2 linked regions of the Drosophila melanogaster genome follow. The protein of the gene in region 2 interacts with the protein of the main gene of each other region in a pairwise test. Each region holds a gene or a part of one and is shown on either strand. Other genes may lie near its edges.

Region 1 (6,622 bases), on a different chromosome or scaffold from region 2:
CGATCTGAAGGGTGGCTATCCATTCGGCGGCACCGATACGGACACAAAAGCCAACGAAAAGGACAAGGAGAAGGAACATACCGCAGACGACTCACTCTACGAGTGCAACATATGCCTGGACACCGCCAAGGATGCTGTGGTCAGCATGTGCGGCCATCTGTTCTGCTGGCCGTGCCTGCATCAGTGGCTCCTGACGCGTCCCAATCGCAAACTCTGTCCCGTTTGTAAGGCTGCCGTTGATAAGGATAAGGTCATACCGCTGTACGGAAGAAATAGTACACACCAGGAAGATCCACGGTAGGTTTGAACCGCTTTCAACATGAGTATTTTTCAATAACCCAACTTATATGTGTTTTGCAGTAACAAAGTTCCACCACGCCCCGCTGGACAACGTACAGAACCAGATCCTGTTCCCGGGTTCCCTGGATTCGGATTCGGCGACGGATTTCACATGTCTTTCGGTATTGGAGCTTTTCCTTTCGGGTTCATAACATCTAGGCTCAACTTTTTCGAACCACGTCCACCTGGTAGGTTACATGCCATCTCAATAGTTCTGAGATTGACATTAAATAACATTTGCCCATGTATTTAGCTGATATTAGAAGGCTACACGAAGATGAACCCTGGGCCCTGTCAAAACTGTTCTGGCATTTTGTCGTTTTTGTGATATATGGGCTGCTCGTTCCAATAGTGCACGGATCATCCCGATAAGAAGAACCTATATTCAAATGTCAATGGAAAGCGTGCGAAGTAATCAAATAGCAGTATCCTCCAGTTAAATCAACAATATTGTTAAACTCGTTGGGCTATAGTCGTTGGTGTGATTAATTAACATAAATTGTTAGCATTCGGTTATAATTGTAATTTGAGGATTCGCAAAACAGAAGTGGATTGGGTCCCAAATTATTTCAAAAAGTCTGCAATACCCTACGACTTCAGCATAAAAAACTGAAATTTCGAAATAATTGGATCGTAATGATTTAATTCAAATGTAGATTTCAAAAATTGTATAAATTTATATTTTAAATTCTATAAAACATTAAAAACATTTATTTTAATTTATTTTCCGTGTAGATTATTATCGATGGGTGAAAAAAATCATTAAGTTTTTGCTTAACTTAAACTGCACAACATTCTTTTTAGGGATCAGGGATAACGTGAATTTCGAAGATGCTGAGGATATGGATGCATGTATGTACATGAAGATATCGGCTTATCTTGAGTATGAGATGTATGATATATGTACCTTCTACCGATCGCTCTAGAAGATCGCCTCCTTTAAGTGGGCCAGTTTGTTGGCAATGGAGGGGGACGCCTCATCACTGGCTCCATAATTGGCTGTGGTGATGCGCTCCACCTCCTGGGAATTGCCGATAAAGGATTCTGCTCCGTGCCAAGAAGCTCACTGCAACCAGAGTCACCAATGGAACATATAAATTGAAAAAGTTTTAAATTTCGTTTGCTTTGTTTTGAAAGAAGCCAGTTCTAATTAGGGATGGTCACGTGATTTCTGCACAGTGGGTGAGCTATCGATTACGACTTAAACGTTTATAGATGCATTAGCGTTGTACAAATCAGCTGTTCCTTGTTTTGGTTTAGTCTAATATCAATAAAATTATTGAATTCTTGACCTTTGTTGTGACCAGATCGTTAGGAACTAGAGATAGTCGAGTGAGTCCTGCTATCGATTGTCCATGGCACACAACAGCTGCTTATGAATAGTATTTAGTCTTGTAAATGTATTTAGTAGTTTATTTTGTTTACAAATCAATCGAGGACTGATCACTGATCACTTTTCAAAGGATTCATTGAGATCCGAGATTTTTCACCTAACTCGATAGTTATCGAACGCGAGCGTGGACTTTGGTCCGGTGGAGACGGGCTGTTATACAGGCAGCTATTTACCGATAGGGTAAAGGTCTATCGGCCTCGGTCAGGTATCGTCAGTGCAGTTGTTTTGAGGTGCTAAGACGTCAATTGATAAATTCCCAATTTTACCGTAACATAACACACTTGTCCACACAATCAATTTAGCAACATTCTCTGATTCGGTTTAACAATACTTAGCACGGCAAGTAGAAGCAAACTGTGAGCGAAAACAAACAATAAAATGAGGGCAAACAAGTCAGGTTTTGCAAACAATACACTTACAATGTATGTAATTTCGAGAAGTTATACTATTTGCTGTGCCCCAGGAAGTTATATATAGTTTAATTAAGTTATAATGCGTTTAAACGCAATCCCTGGAACTCGATGTATATGAGCATATAATTCCCCTTGACTCCAATAGGAAGTGCTCCATGAAAACATCATGTGACATCTTTGACATCTATACGTACTGTATAAATAAGCATATAATCGGTTCCAATGTACATATGTAACAGGTAGATGGAAACCTTCTAGCCCTATATACACGCGAGTGTTTGAGTGTGTAGATGTGTACATAAGTACGCACATAAGTCCAGGTACATATGCAGGTATACCGTCTTGTTTGCCAACGCAATTCAAACAAAATTTGACTTTTTTGTTTAATTTATGTGGGTGCAGCCAATGGGAATGTTCGGTGCATTATCCTTGAAGACTTGGTGGTAAATACGCCCTTTGGGCGGTTTTCGTAGCCATAAACACCACCCCATGGGGTCGGACAAATGCTGAATGCTGCGGAACTCGGGGGAAACCCCCTTCAAACTGCGCTTGAAGTATTTAATTAAATTAAGTCATATTCAAGAAAGTGCGGACCTTAGTTGTACACCAGAAATGGCCTAGGAAAATCATCTAAGCAATCTAGGCACTTGTCAATAGGGTGAACACAGACTTACTTAGCAAATTTGGGTTTCTAAATCATCCAACGTTACGTTGCAGCTTGAACGACTAAAACTTTACCCGCATCTTGGGCAAACCATGGAGGAACCGAAAAGTGTACCCACAGCGGAGCTTCCCAGCACATCAACCGGGGCATCGTCGTCCTCATCGACTTTGTCCAACAACGTGAGCTACGACAAGATAGCCTGGACTCGGGATATCACAGAACCCTTGGCTGAGGAGTCATCTACAAGTCAATTGCGCCCGCTGGGTACCTCGATTCCAACCAATTCGACGGCATCGGAACTGAAGAAGTCCAACACTTCGTATTCCTTTACTGGAGACTATCTATCTGGTGGCAATAAGGCCGATCTGAAGGGTGGCTATCCATTCGGCGGCACCGATACGGACACAAAAGCCAACGAAAAGGACAAGGAGAAGGAACATACCGCAGACGACTCACTCTACGAGTGCAACATATGCCTGGACACCGCCAAGGATGCTGTGGTCAGCATGTGCGGCCATCTGTTCTGCTGGCCGTGCCTGCATCAGTGGCTCCTGACGCGTCCCAATCGCAAACTCTGTCCCGTTTGTAAGGCTGCCGTTGATAAGGATAAGGTCATACCGCTGTACGGAAGAAATAGTACACACCAGGAAGATCCACGGTAGGTTTGAACCGCTTTCAACATGAGTATTTTTCAATAACCCAACTTATATGTGTTTTGCAGTAACAAAGTTCCACCACGCCCCGCTGGACAACGTACAGAACCAGATCCTGTTCCCGGGTTCCCTGGATTCGGATTCGGCGACGGATTTCACATGTCTTTCGGTATTGGAGCTTTTCCTTTCGGGTTCATAACATCTACGCTCAACTTTGGCGAACCACGTCCACCTGGTAGGTTACATGCCATCTCAATAGTTCTGAGATTGATATTAAATAACATTTGCCCATGTATTTAGCTGCTAATCGGGGAACAAGGCAATACGAGGATGAACAGACCCTGTCCAAGCTGTTTTCGTATTTGGCCGTTGTGTGGATATTGTGGCTGTTCTATGCATAGCAATCTGCGAACGCATAAAGACATCACCCCGATAAGAAGAACCTATGTTCAAATGTGTATGGAAAGCGTGCGAAGTAATCATATAGCAGTATCCTCCAGTTAAATCAACAATATTCTTAAACTCGTTGGGCAATAGTCGTTGGTGTGATTAATTAACATAAATTGTTAGCATTCGGTTATAATTGTAATTTGAGGATTCGCAAAACAGAAGTGGATTGGATCCCAAACTATTTCAAAAAGTCCGCGATACCCTACGACTCCAGCATAAAAAACTGAAATTTCGAAATCATTGGATCGTAATGATTTAATTCAAATGTAGATGTCAAAAATTGTATAAATATATATTTTAAATTCGATAAAACATTAAAAACATTTATTTCAATTCATTTTCCGTGTAGATTATTATCGATGGGTGATTGGGAGCGATTGAATCAATAGGAATAAAATAAATTATGGGTATAATAGAGGGGCTTTTAAAAAATCATTAAGTTTATTGCTTAACTTAAACTGCACAACATTCTTTTTAACTTGAAATGGCCATTGCCTTAAGAGCAAAAAAATAAAACACAAAATAAAACTGATGGCTACTTAAAATATTTTAGCTAAGCTAGGCGTTCGCCGAAACGGATTCCACGAACTGGATGAAACGCTGCCAGCGGGTCGCGAACTAGAGGATGTTTTCAGGTGGAGCTTGGGCTTGGCCGCAATACTTGTGGGACTGGGAAATCCGGATGAAATGCCCGATGAACTGGCCGCCGATAGCGTTGATAATGAGCCCTTCGACGACAATGGCTGTGCGTAAACAAGGTGAATTTGTTTGCTGATTTTTTACGTATGATTAATAAACAAAATGCACCTTCAAGTAGTTGCGATCCATGGGCGTTATCACTCTCAGCTCGAGTGTAGAGCCGCAGGATTGTATGAGCTGCACCACCTGCTGATGGGAGTACCACTTCACGTCCACGCCGGCTATCTCGACTATGAAGTCTCCCTCCTTGATGCCGCCAAGCTGAAAATAATGCCTACAGTATACGACGAATCGATGGAAGTAGCATTTACTTACGTCTGCCAAAGAATTAATCTCAACGTGGGCAATGATCACCGGAGCATCGCCGCGCACATGGAAGCCAAAGTTCTCAAACTCCTCCTTGTACAGATTGTATCCACCATCGTGCTCCTCGTCATCATCGTTATCCAATGGGCACTTGTTGTCATTGCTGGGCACGCTGTGATACAGGGAGGAACCTTTCTGGAGACGCACACATCTGGGCGCTGTCCAGTGGCGTCTCGCCGAGAATATTGCAATCGGGCCGAGGCGCTTGAAGGGATCCTTAACCTTGTGCGATGTGAAGTCGGGTCCGGTCAGGGATAACGTGAACTTCGAAGATGCTGAGGATATGGATGCATGTATGTACATGAAGACATCGGCTTATCTTGAGTATGATATATGTACCTTCTACCGATCGCTCTAGAAGATCGCCATCTTCGATATTTTTGGCTGAAGCTTGCAGTCTGAACTTCTCGAGCTCCTCCTGCGATTTGGAGTGCACCTCCTTCATGACTTCAGTCAGTGATGCCTTGTTCTTAAAGATTAAAGTTAAAGGTTAGGTTATTAGGCTATAGGATATAAGAAGTATATTTACCTTCAAGAACCGACACATCCGCTGCAATCGCTGGGCTTCCTCGATACTGGCCAGCGCCTCCTTTAAGTGGGCCAGTTTGTTGGCAATGGAGGTGGACGCCTCATCGCTGGCTCCATAATCGGCTGTGGTGATGCGCTCCACCTCCTGGGAATTGCCGATGAAGGATTCTTGGTTCTTTTGACTTGACTTTGATGCCTTCAGCTCGTCTGTCGCATCTATGCTCCGTGCCTTGTAGAAATGTGCGAATGCTGTTGGCGTTTACAATCATACTTTAGAATGAATATTCCCATTTCGAGGTGATAACCAATTCTACCTTTGTAGAGTTCCGCCTTGACTGGCACTAGACCGGCCCAGCATTCCGGAAGATAGGTGTGCGTATCGTTCGCCTGGATATTCTTGTGCATCTCATTGTACTCGTGCGATATTTGAGCAGCCTCGCCAGCCAGATCCCGAAACGCCTGGCAATCGTGCTGTATGGTTATATAGATGGTAAAATTATGTAACTACATACTATATACTATATACTATATACTATATATGCTGACGGAAACTCACGCTCATCGCCTCGATCTGCAGCTGAAGCTTCTCAAAGAGGCATTCTCGTGCCTGGGAAAGCATCAGGGAAACGAGCACGTCCAGGACCTGTGGCTTCAGGTCCATCGATGGTGCATTCGTGAACGTATCGTAGATGTGACGAAAGACCCCGGCGGCCCGTAAAAAACTATCCACGGCCAAGTCAAGACCCCGTTCCGTCGTGCGATCGTGTCGAGCGCCGATCTGTGTATATATGCCGCCCAGATTGAACAGGGTGCAGGCTTTCTCGAACGCGATGGTCCGCTGGCACGAGGGAACTCCCGTGAGCGAGTCGTACCACTCGAAGTACACGCCCAGGTTACGATCCGGCGGAAAGAAGCGACGCTCCACGTAATACAGCGTGTTGTAGTAGCGGAAAAGTAGGGCCACTCCCAGGGCATCTCGTGACGGTGTTTTGGATGCCTATTAGAAATTTTTCGCATTGGATTATATGTGCATAAAATTCTTATATATGTACGAGGCATTACCTGTCTCGTGTCCGTCATATCAGCTATGGCATCTATGTACATCGAGGGCTCCTCG
Region 2 (6,380 bases):
GATATCAATCCGGAAATAGTTCAAAGTTCGCGCTGCGTTGATAACATAAGGCTGATAAAGGTGGATGCAAAACAGATTGGACCCAATACGGACTACACATCTGGCGTACTCAAGTTTAGCTTTGTGCGGTAAACCGCTGCCCCATGAGTGGGATATGCTCCAACTGATCAAGCTCCAAAATGAAAAGGTTTTAAACTGAAATATAGTTAAGTGTATACATTTATCAACTGCTTACCAAATAAAAAGATGTAAATATACATATTTGTAAAGCGATTTTTCAATGCATCATTGTTTTTACTGCCCTTAGGGATAAAAAAAATTAAATTCAAGTTGTAGTACACTTTAAAATTCAAACACCCAAGTCCTTGCAATCAGCGTCAATCCAAATGAAATTCGAGTTCAGAGCTAAAACCTCGTCGACAAGCCAAACTTTGGATCGATGCCCACGAGGATGACCAAATGCGCCAGCCCTTCCGCCGAGCCTCCGTCTACCTCCACCTGCTGTTAATAACCGAGGCCGTGATCGGACTGCTGATCCTGGTGGTGACCGCCTACTACCACACCGTGCTCACCGGCTATCTATCGGATATTGAGTGCCGCCTGGTCTACGGCTATCTGTTTGGGATCTACGTGTTTGGCGCCCAGGTGGTGGTGACCTTTCTCTGCAGCATTGCCATGTGGCGGCGAATTTGGCGGCGTCGCTGCACGCCGAACATTCGCCTCTTGCTATCCGTGTGGGCCTTCTACTCCTGCGTAATCATTGCCTCCGGTTTCGGGTGCGTTTGGAATCTTTACCGGGGTGTCGATGTCCTCGAGAATGCGGCGGACACCTCGCTGACCCGCGGCATCGACATGTACTACTCGTGTCCCGAGTGGAAACTCCTGTGGGACGGACTGCAGTGGCACAAGGAGTGCTGCGGGGTGCATGGCTACAAGGACTGGATGAACGCGGAGTGGATGCCACGGCGGGAGAATAACTGCACGTCGATGGTCCTGGCACCCTTCGCCTGCTGCAAGCGCTCCTGCGACAGCTGCTTTAACAATTTCCTGCCCAGTGAGGGGCAGTCCATCGGTGGCAATAGCCGGCAGCCTTTTCCCGCTCTCACCGTGGACTCAATCAATGCGAACGGATGCTTGCCTGCGTTCGTTAGTGCGGTGTGGAACTGCTTTTACATCCTGATGGCGTTATGGGTCCTGGCCCTTAAGTTTCTGGTAAGTAATTGGTAATGGGCAACGTTTTAAAGTCAGAACAATGGTGAATATTGGAGCCATATTCATTAAATTCTGTCAAATTCATTAGCGTAAGTCATATTGAAATCAAAAAATTTGAATATGCAACAAAATTGTATTTTAAGATAAGACCTCCCTAAGTCAATCATCTTTTTAGATCGTGCTTTGTTGTATGACCAAGTTCATAGTTCACCGGCAGAACGAGGGCGATGGCTGCGATAATGTGGGACTCACGGACGATGATGGACATCCCTTGGTCGTGGTGGTGGGTTTATCCATTTACTATCCATCGATAGCACCTAAATCAGTCCATTCCCCAGAAATATCCGTGTAACGTGCGCTGTGTAACAATTGCCGAGGATGATCTGGTATCCGACAACGTTCCCGATATTAACTACTGCAATTGCACCGAAATGGACGACGAACCGTGTGGATACTAATATTGTGCTTAATTTTACTTTTATATTTTATATTAATTTAATTAAATTTACGAATTTGAGTTAACTTCATATCCAATCGGTGAACGCAATATATTATTTATTGGATATTATAGGATACTTATTACATGGATGTTGTAACATTGGATGTTAAATGGATTAACGGCGCATCCTCTTGGATTTCTTCAAAGTCTGACCCACCAGTTGAGCAATATGTTTGCGCAATGCCAAGAAAGGCTTCAAGCAGACGCGCTGCTCGACGAGACCCACAGCAATGCGGTGAAAGAACTCGGTGACATCCACGGGCTTGGCCAGCAGCTGACCTTGTGATACCGAGCCGTTTTCCTCTGAGGCCTCGGGCGTAGGGCTACGTGCCATTCTACGGATGAATGGTTCCAAGTTGCCCCTGCTACGTTGGGAAACGCGAGCTCCAATGGACTCTGATAGCGCATTATTGGCGCGAGAGAAGGTGAGACGCTCCTGAGATCCCGAGTCGTTTTGATCCGGAGTCTCTGGCTTCTGTATCACCAGTTCGGGTGAGGTGGGGTTTTTCTTTGGAATTTTCGGAAACTCGGTAATTTCGGTAATCTCCAAAGCACTGTGGGGACGTCTTCTGTAGAGAATCCGAACCCGTTATTCCACGTTCTACATTACGAAACTATAACTTACGGTGTACCCGCCTCATAAGTGACATATGGGGACCAGTCTGCCCCATCCAAATCCATACTAAAAGGTTCACAAAATGAAGAAAAATGATTTTGTTTTATAACATTAAATTTACTCACTCATCTTCGTTGGAACAGTCATCATCTTGATCACTTTCCCTGATTATAAGGCAACTTAAAAATAATCTATCAAAACATTATATTAAAAAGACTTACACAGAAGACTCGCAGGTAATCTCGTCACTTTCGGGAGCACTAGAAAGGAAATACATATATTGTCAGTGTTTTTCTGAAGCTAAATTAATGAAGTCTTACGTAGCTTCTTGATATTCATCATCATCGCCCACAATATGAGGAACCTTTGATTGGGACCTGCAATGAATAATCCATCAATATATTTAATGAACTGCTTTAATTTTAATTACATTTTTAACAAATTTTCAACGCCTAGCTCCTGGAAAATGACAATGTGAAAAGCCGTGCGGCCAGTGTGTCCACTCCAAGGAATGTTTAATAAGAACATCAGTGTTGATCAAAATACTGTTGAAAACTTACTGGAGCATATGTAATTAATATATAAAATTCAGTTAAAGCTCAAGTCACGTGTTCTTAACATTTAGTAAAAATAGAAATTTATACTAAAGGTTTTGGTAAATTTGAGCCTTAAAATTTTGGTTAAGTTTAGCCTTAAAATGGCAGTTAAACATAAAAAGTTTAAATTCCTATAAAAAGACGTACCAGTGTTGTACAACAGGCTTAATTTACAAACTTCCAAATACAAATGTAATTATACATATTTATGTAAAGTCAAGCCATCACAATTTAATTCCACCTTTGGAAATGTTTTTATATATTGGGTGTTCGTTTTTATTGAACTTGACATGCTTATGACTAAATAGTTAAGGAAACTGGAATTGGAATAAATACAGCTCGACCAAAAACACAAGCCACAATTATGCAATAAATTCAATCCTTTAATGTGACATATAGTTAACTTATTCGAGTACTCTTTCTTAGACATATGTGGGCTATAAACATTGTAAAATCTCTACTGCATTCGATTGGGAAACATAAACCACAAGACATGGGCGGAAATAGCCTATTCCTGGCTGATTTCATTGGCATCTGAGAAATCCGAGACGGCGACGCTGCTGGTGCTGATTAAATGTCGATCGGGCATTTCGCCGATGGAAGGAAGAGTGGTGCTATCGCTGGCGCTGGACAAAGATATCTCCTCCCAGCTGACGCCGGAGTCGCATTCGTTGCCCGGGGAAACGGGTGTGGCGTCGGCATTGTGCGGCTCATCCTCCGGTGCCTGGCCAATGCTGATAGCCGGCGTTGCTCTGGAACGTTTGCCAACTAGTTCGACGTTTTGATTGCGATCCGCAGCAATGCGCTTGCGATCGGGAATTTGATTGCCCGTGGTGGGACTCCAGTCCATGGCACGGTGCACCAAAGCCCGAAAAGTTATACGGATCGGCTCGCTCGGTGGACTGTCCATGTCTGAGGGATTTCTTCTGGACACTTGCGGCGACATGATCATCGTGGAGTTGTGCAAAGCACTGGGATGCGAAGTCAAAAAATCAGACTCGCTCTCCTGTCGACATTAATGAGAAGCTAATTACTATTTATTGTTTATTGTTAACTGAATACTTTTCCCACGTGCAGAGCCCTTTCTAGATCCTCATCCTGGGGACTGATACTAGCTGATTGCTGCACGACACTTGCTAATTCGGTCATTTCCTCAATATCCATGCCTTCCTCGTAAACGCCTGCGCCTGAGCAAATAGTTAGTTATATATGTATGTATGTTAAGGACGTCTAATTTAGAATATCTTACTTTTGAGGAAGTCAACTAATCTCCTGTTTGTTCGGCTGCGTAACTCCATTTTCAATGGGACAAAAACAACAACTTTAGTACTAATATTATGTGGTTACAATGCATTTGCTCTTGTTCTTGCTGCTAACGGAACTTTTCGCCAAACTGAAATCGTCTATAACGCCATATCGATAGTTAAGATGTGATCTCAAGTAATGGTCACACTTAGAGATGGTGCAACAAGTTTTCGAGTTGTATGTGAAAATATTAAAAACTATTTAAAAAAAAAAAAAAACGATAAGGCTCTGAAAATGTTGTGGTTATTATAAAGTGATATAAGTGATTAAGTTCTATAATGTAACTTGATAAAATTGTATATGTTTTCCTCGTAATTTAAGTCCAGTCTTTTAATTACCTCAACAAAAAGCCTTTAAACTTCGTTTGGTATTACACTTAAAAAACAATTTATGGGTAAAAAGCTGGGCTCCAAAATGGCGAAGTTTTAACACCAGCTCTGCGAAGTTGAAATGCATCGTGAAAAAAGTAAATACTTTGCGAACTTTTTGTGTGGTCAACCTGCTGACCAAAGTTGCAGCTTTCACTACCCACAACGCTGGCAATTGTTTTTCTAATTTAAGTAAAAAAATATGCGTCTCTTTGCATTTCGTTTGCATGCCCAGCCACCTGCGAGTTTTCTGGCCCCCTGAACACGCCCCTTTCACTTTTTACATACATACCTCGGACCCCATCGTTGCATCCCAAAACGAAAAGCGAGTTGAAATTCAACAAAATGTCAAAATGCCACTTGAAGTCAGTTTGCCATTTTCGCTGCCATGGAGCGCCTTTTCGACCCGAAAATTGTTCTTTCTGTGGGGCAGTTTTCAGCTCGACTTTGTCCCCATGGAAAGTCATAATACCCTGAATATTTTGAGATCATACACGGACTGGGGTGCTTCAGAAATATGCAGGCTTATGAAAACCTATTTAATAGCATTCGTAAATTTTTCGTGCCTTAATTTAGATAGGTTAAAAAAAGAATTTACGTTACATGTGTACCTTGTTAAGTTTTTTAAAAAACAAAAATATATAATTTATTATATTCCATATATTTACATATTTTATACAATTTATTTTGGTTTTTCATATTTTTCAAGGTATTTACATTATTTTCTTGTTATATTTTGGGCATAACTTTTTTCCTGATACTATTTTCTATATAACCAAATTATTTTGCTGGTTAAAACCAGCGACACCAAAAATAAAAGCACAAAAAATAGGAAAAGTTTCGATGTCGTCGCGTTGGCGAGCATTGCTTCTTTTGCATAGGAGTCGCCATTGAGTCCCAACTGCATTTGGCTTTACTTTCCCCTCGCCGTCGACCCACCCAAACCTCAGTTTTAGTGGCACGTCAAAGGCAAATAAATAAAAAAAAGAATGAAAAAAAAAAAAATTGAGAATAGAAGAAAAACCTGGACCAAAGCCGTTTGTGTTAGCCCGCATTTTGTACAGTTTTTGGCTGGCATTTAAAGTCCGTTCAATTACCGCGAAACACGTTTGACAGGGCAACAAAAAATAAAATAAAACGTCGACTTGAATTATTTGCGTTAGCTAAGGTAACGAGTTTAAGCGTTCTGAGTGGCGAAAATGTATTCAAATTTTATGCGTTCCTTTAACCCTTTAATGCCCCACCCCTTTTCGCAGGCAGTGAAGCAGCTAACACTTATTGGATTAGCAAATATGTGCCGCTGTCGATTTGCTTTTAGTGGCTCCGTTTTATGTTTTCATTATGGTGGGGGACTAAAGGATTTTCGCCATTAACTTTTGCTCGCCAGCTTTCCGGCACATTAGGCAGCCATTATTTGGCTAATTTTGCATCTTTCGGCCATATAATTTACACCAAATAACACACGACTGCACACACATACCCGCAAATACCTTGAACATGGCCAGTTGTAAGTGCTGCGTGACTGCTGAAATATTCGCGCAACACTCATACGCCGCGTTGGCCATTGCTGCGTTTCCGGCCTTCGAGCTGGCTAATCAATGATTCGGAAATACTTTACACAACATTAATTCTACGCTCCGACCCTTTCCATCTGATGTTTACGGCTTCTTAAGCTTTTTTTTTAAATAAAACATTTAATAATTAACCAAATTTTTTGTTAGTTTTTGAGGAAAAAAAAAAACAATTTCTTCTTGTGTTCATGTAAAGAGTGCTGGAACTCAGAT

Evidence for each region. Proteins that work in one complex are often made in the same cells at the same time.
Region 1: the proteins of CG14932 (region 2) and sordd1 interact in a two-hybrid assay, tested with the Drosophila melanogaster proteins (one large-scale study listed by BioGRID).

The regions. Positions count from the first base shown.
Region 1 is NC_004354.4:15,791,342-15,797,963, reverse strand, and holds sordd1 (suppression of retinal degeneration disease 1 upon overexpression 1), read left to right. Parts: upstream 1-1,935; 5' UTR 1,936-1,962; exon of another isoform or gene 1,963-2,154; intron 2,155-2,388; exon of another isoform or gene 2,389-2,477; intron 2,478-2,547; exon of another isoform or gene 2,548-2,803; intron 2,804-2,862; 5' UTR 2,863-2,901; coding exon 2,902-3,467; intron 3,468-3,530; coding exon 3,531-3,697; intron 3,698-3,762; coding exon 3,763-3,863; 3' UTR 3,864-4,243; downstream 4,244-6,622. Other genes in the region: sordd2 (suppression of retinal degeneration disease 1 upon overexpression 2), read left to right, coding at 1-297, 361-527, 593-711; Rhp (rhophilin), read right to left, coding at 4,452-4,655, 4,720-4,872, 4,927-5,252, 5,317-5,446, 5,507-5,754, 5,820-5,976, 6,062-6,502, 6,568-6,622.
Region 2 is NT_033779.5:11,786,383-11,792,762, reverse strand, and holds CG14932 (uncharacterized protein), read right to left. Parts: upstream 2,845-6,380; 5' UTR 2,760-2,844; coding exon 2,758-2,759; intron 2,705-2,757; coding exon 2,648-2,704; intron 2,588-2,647; coding exon 2,549-2,587; intron 2,492-2,548; coding exon 2,453-2,491; intron 2,394-2,452; coding exon 2,337-2,393; intron 2,281-2,336; coding exon 1,827-2,280; 3' UTR 1,752-1,826; downstream 1-1,751. Other genes in the region: CG14937 (uncharacterized protein), read left to right, coding at 1-132; Tsp33B (tetraspanin 33B), read left to right, coding at 460-1,212, 1,388-1,495, 1,551-1,670; CG14931 (uncharacterized protein), read right to left, coding at 3,432-3,929, 3,986-4,110, 4,173-4,221.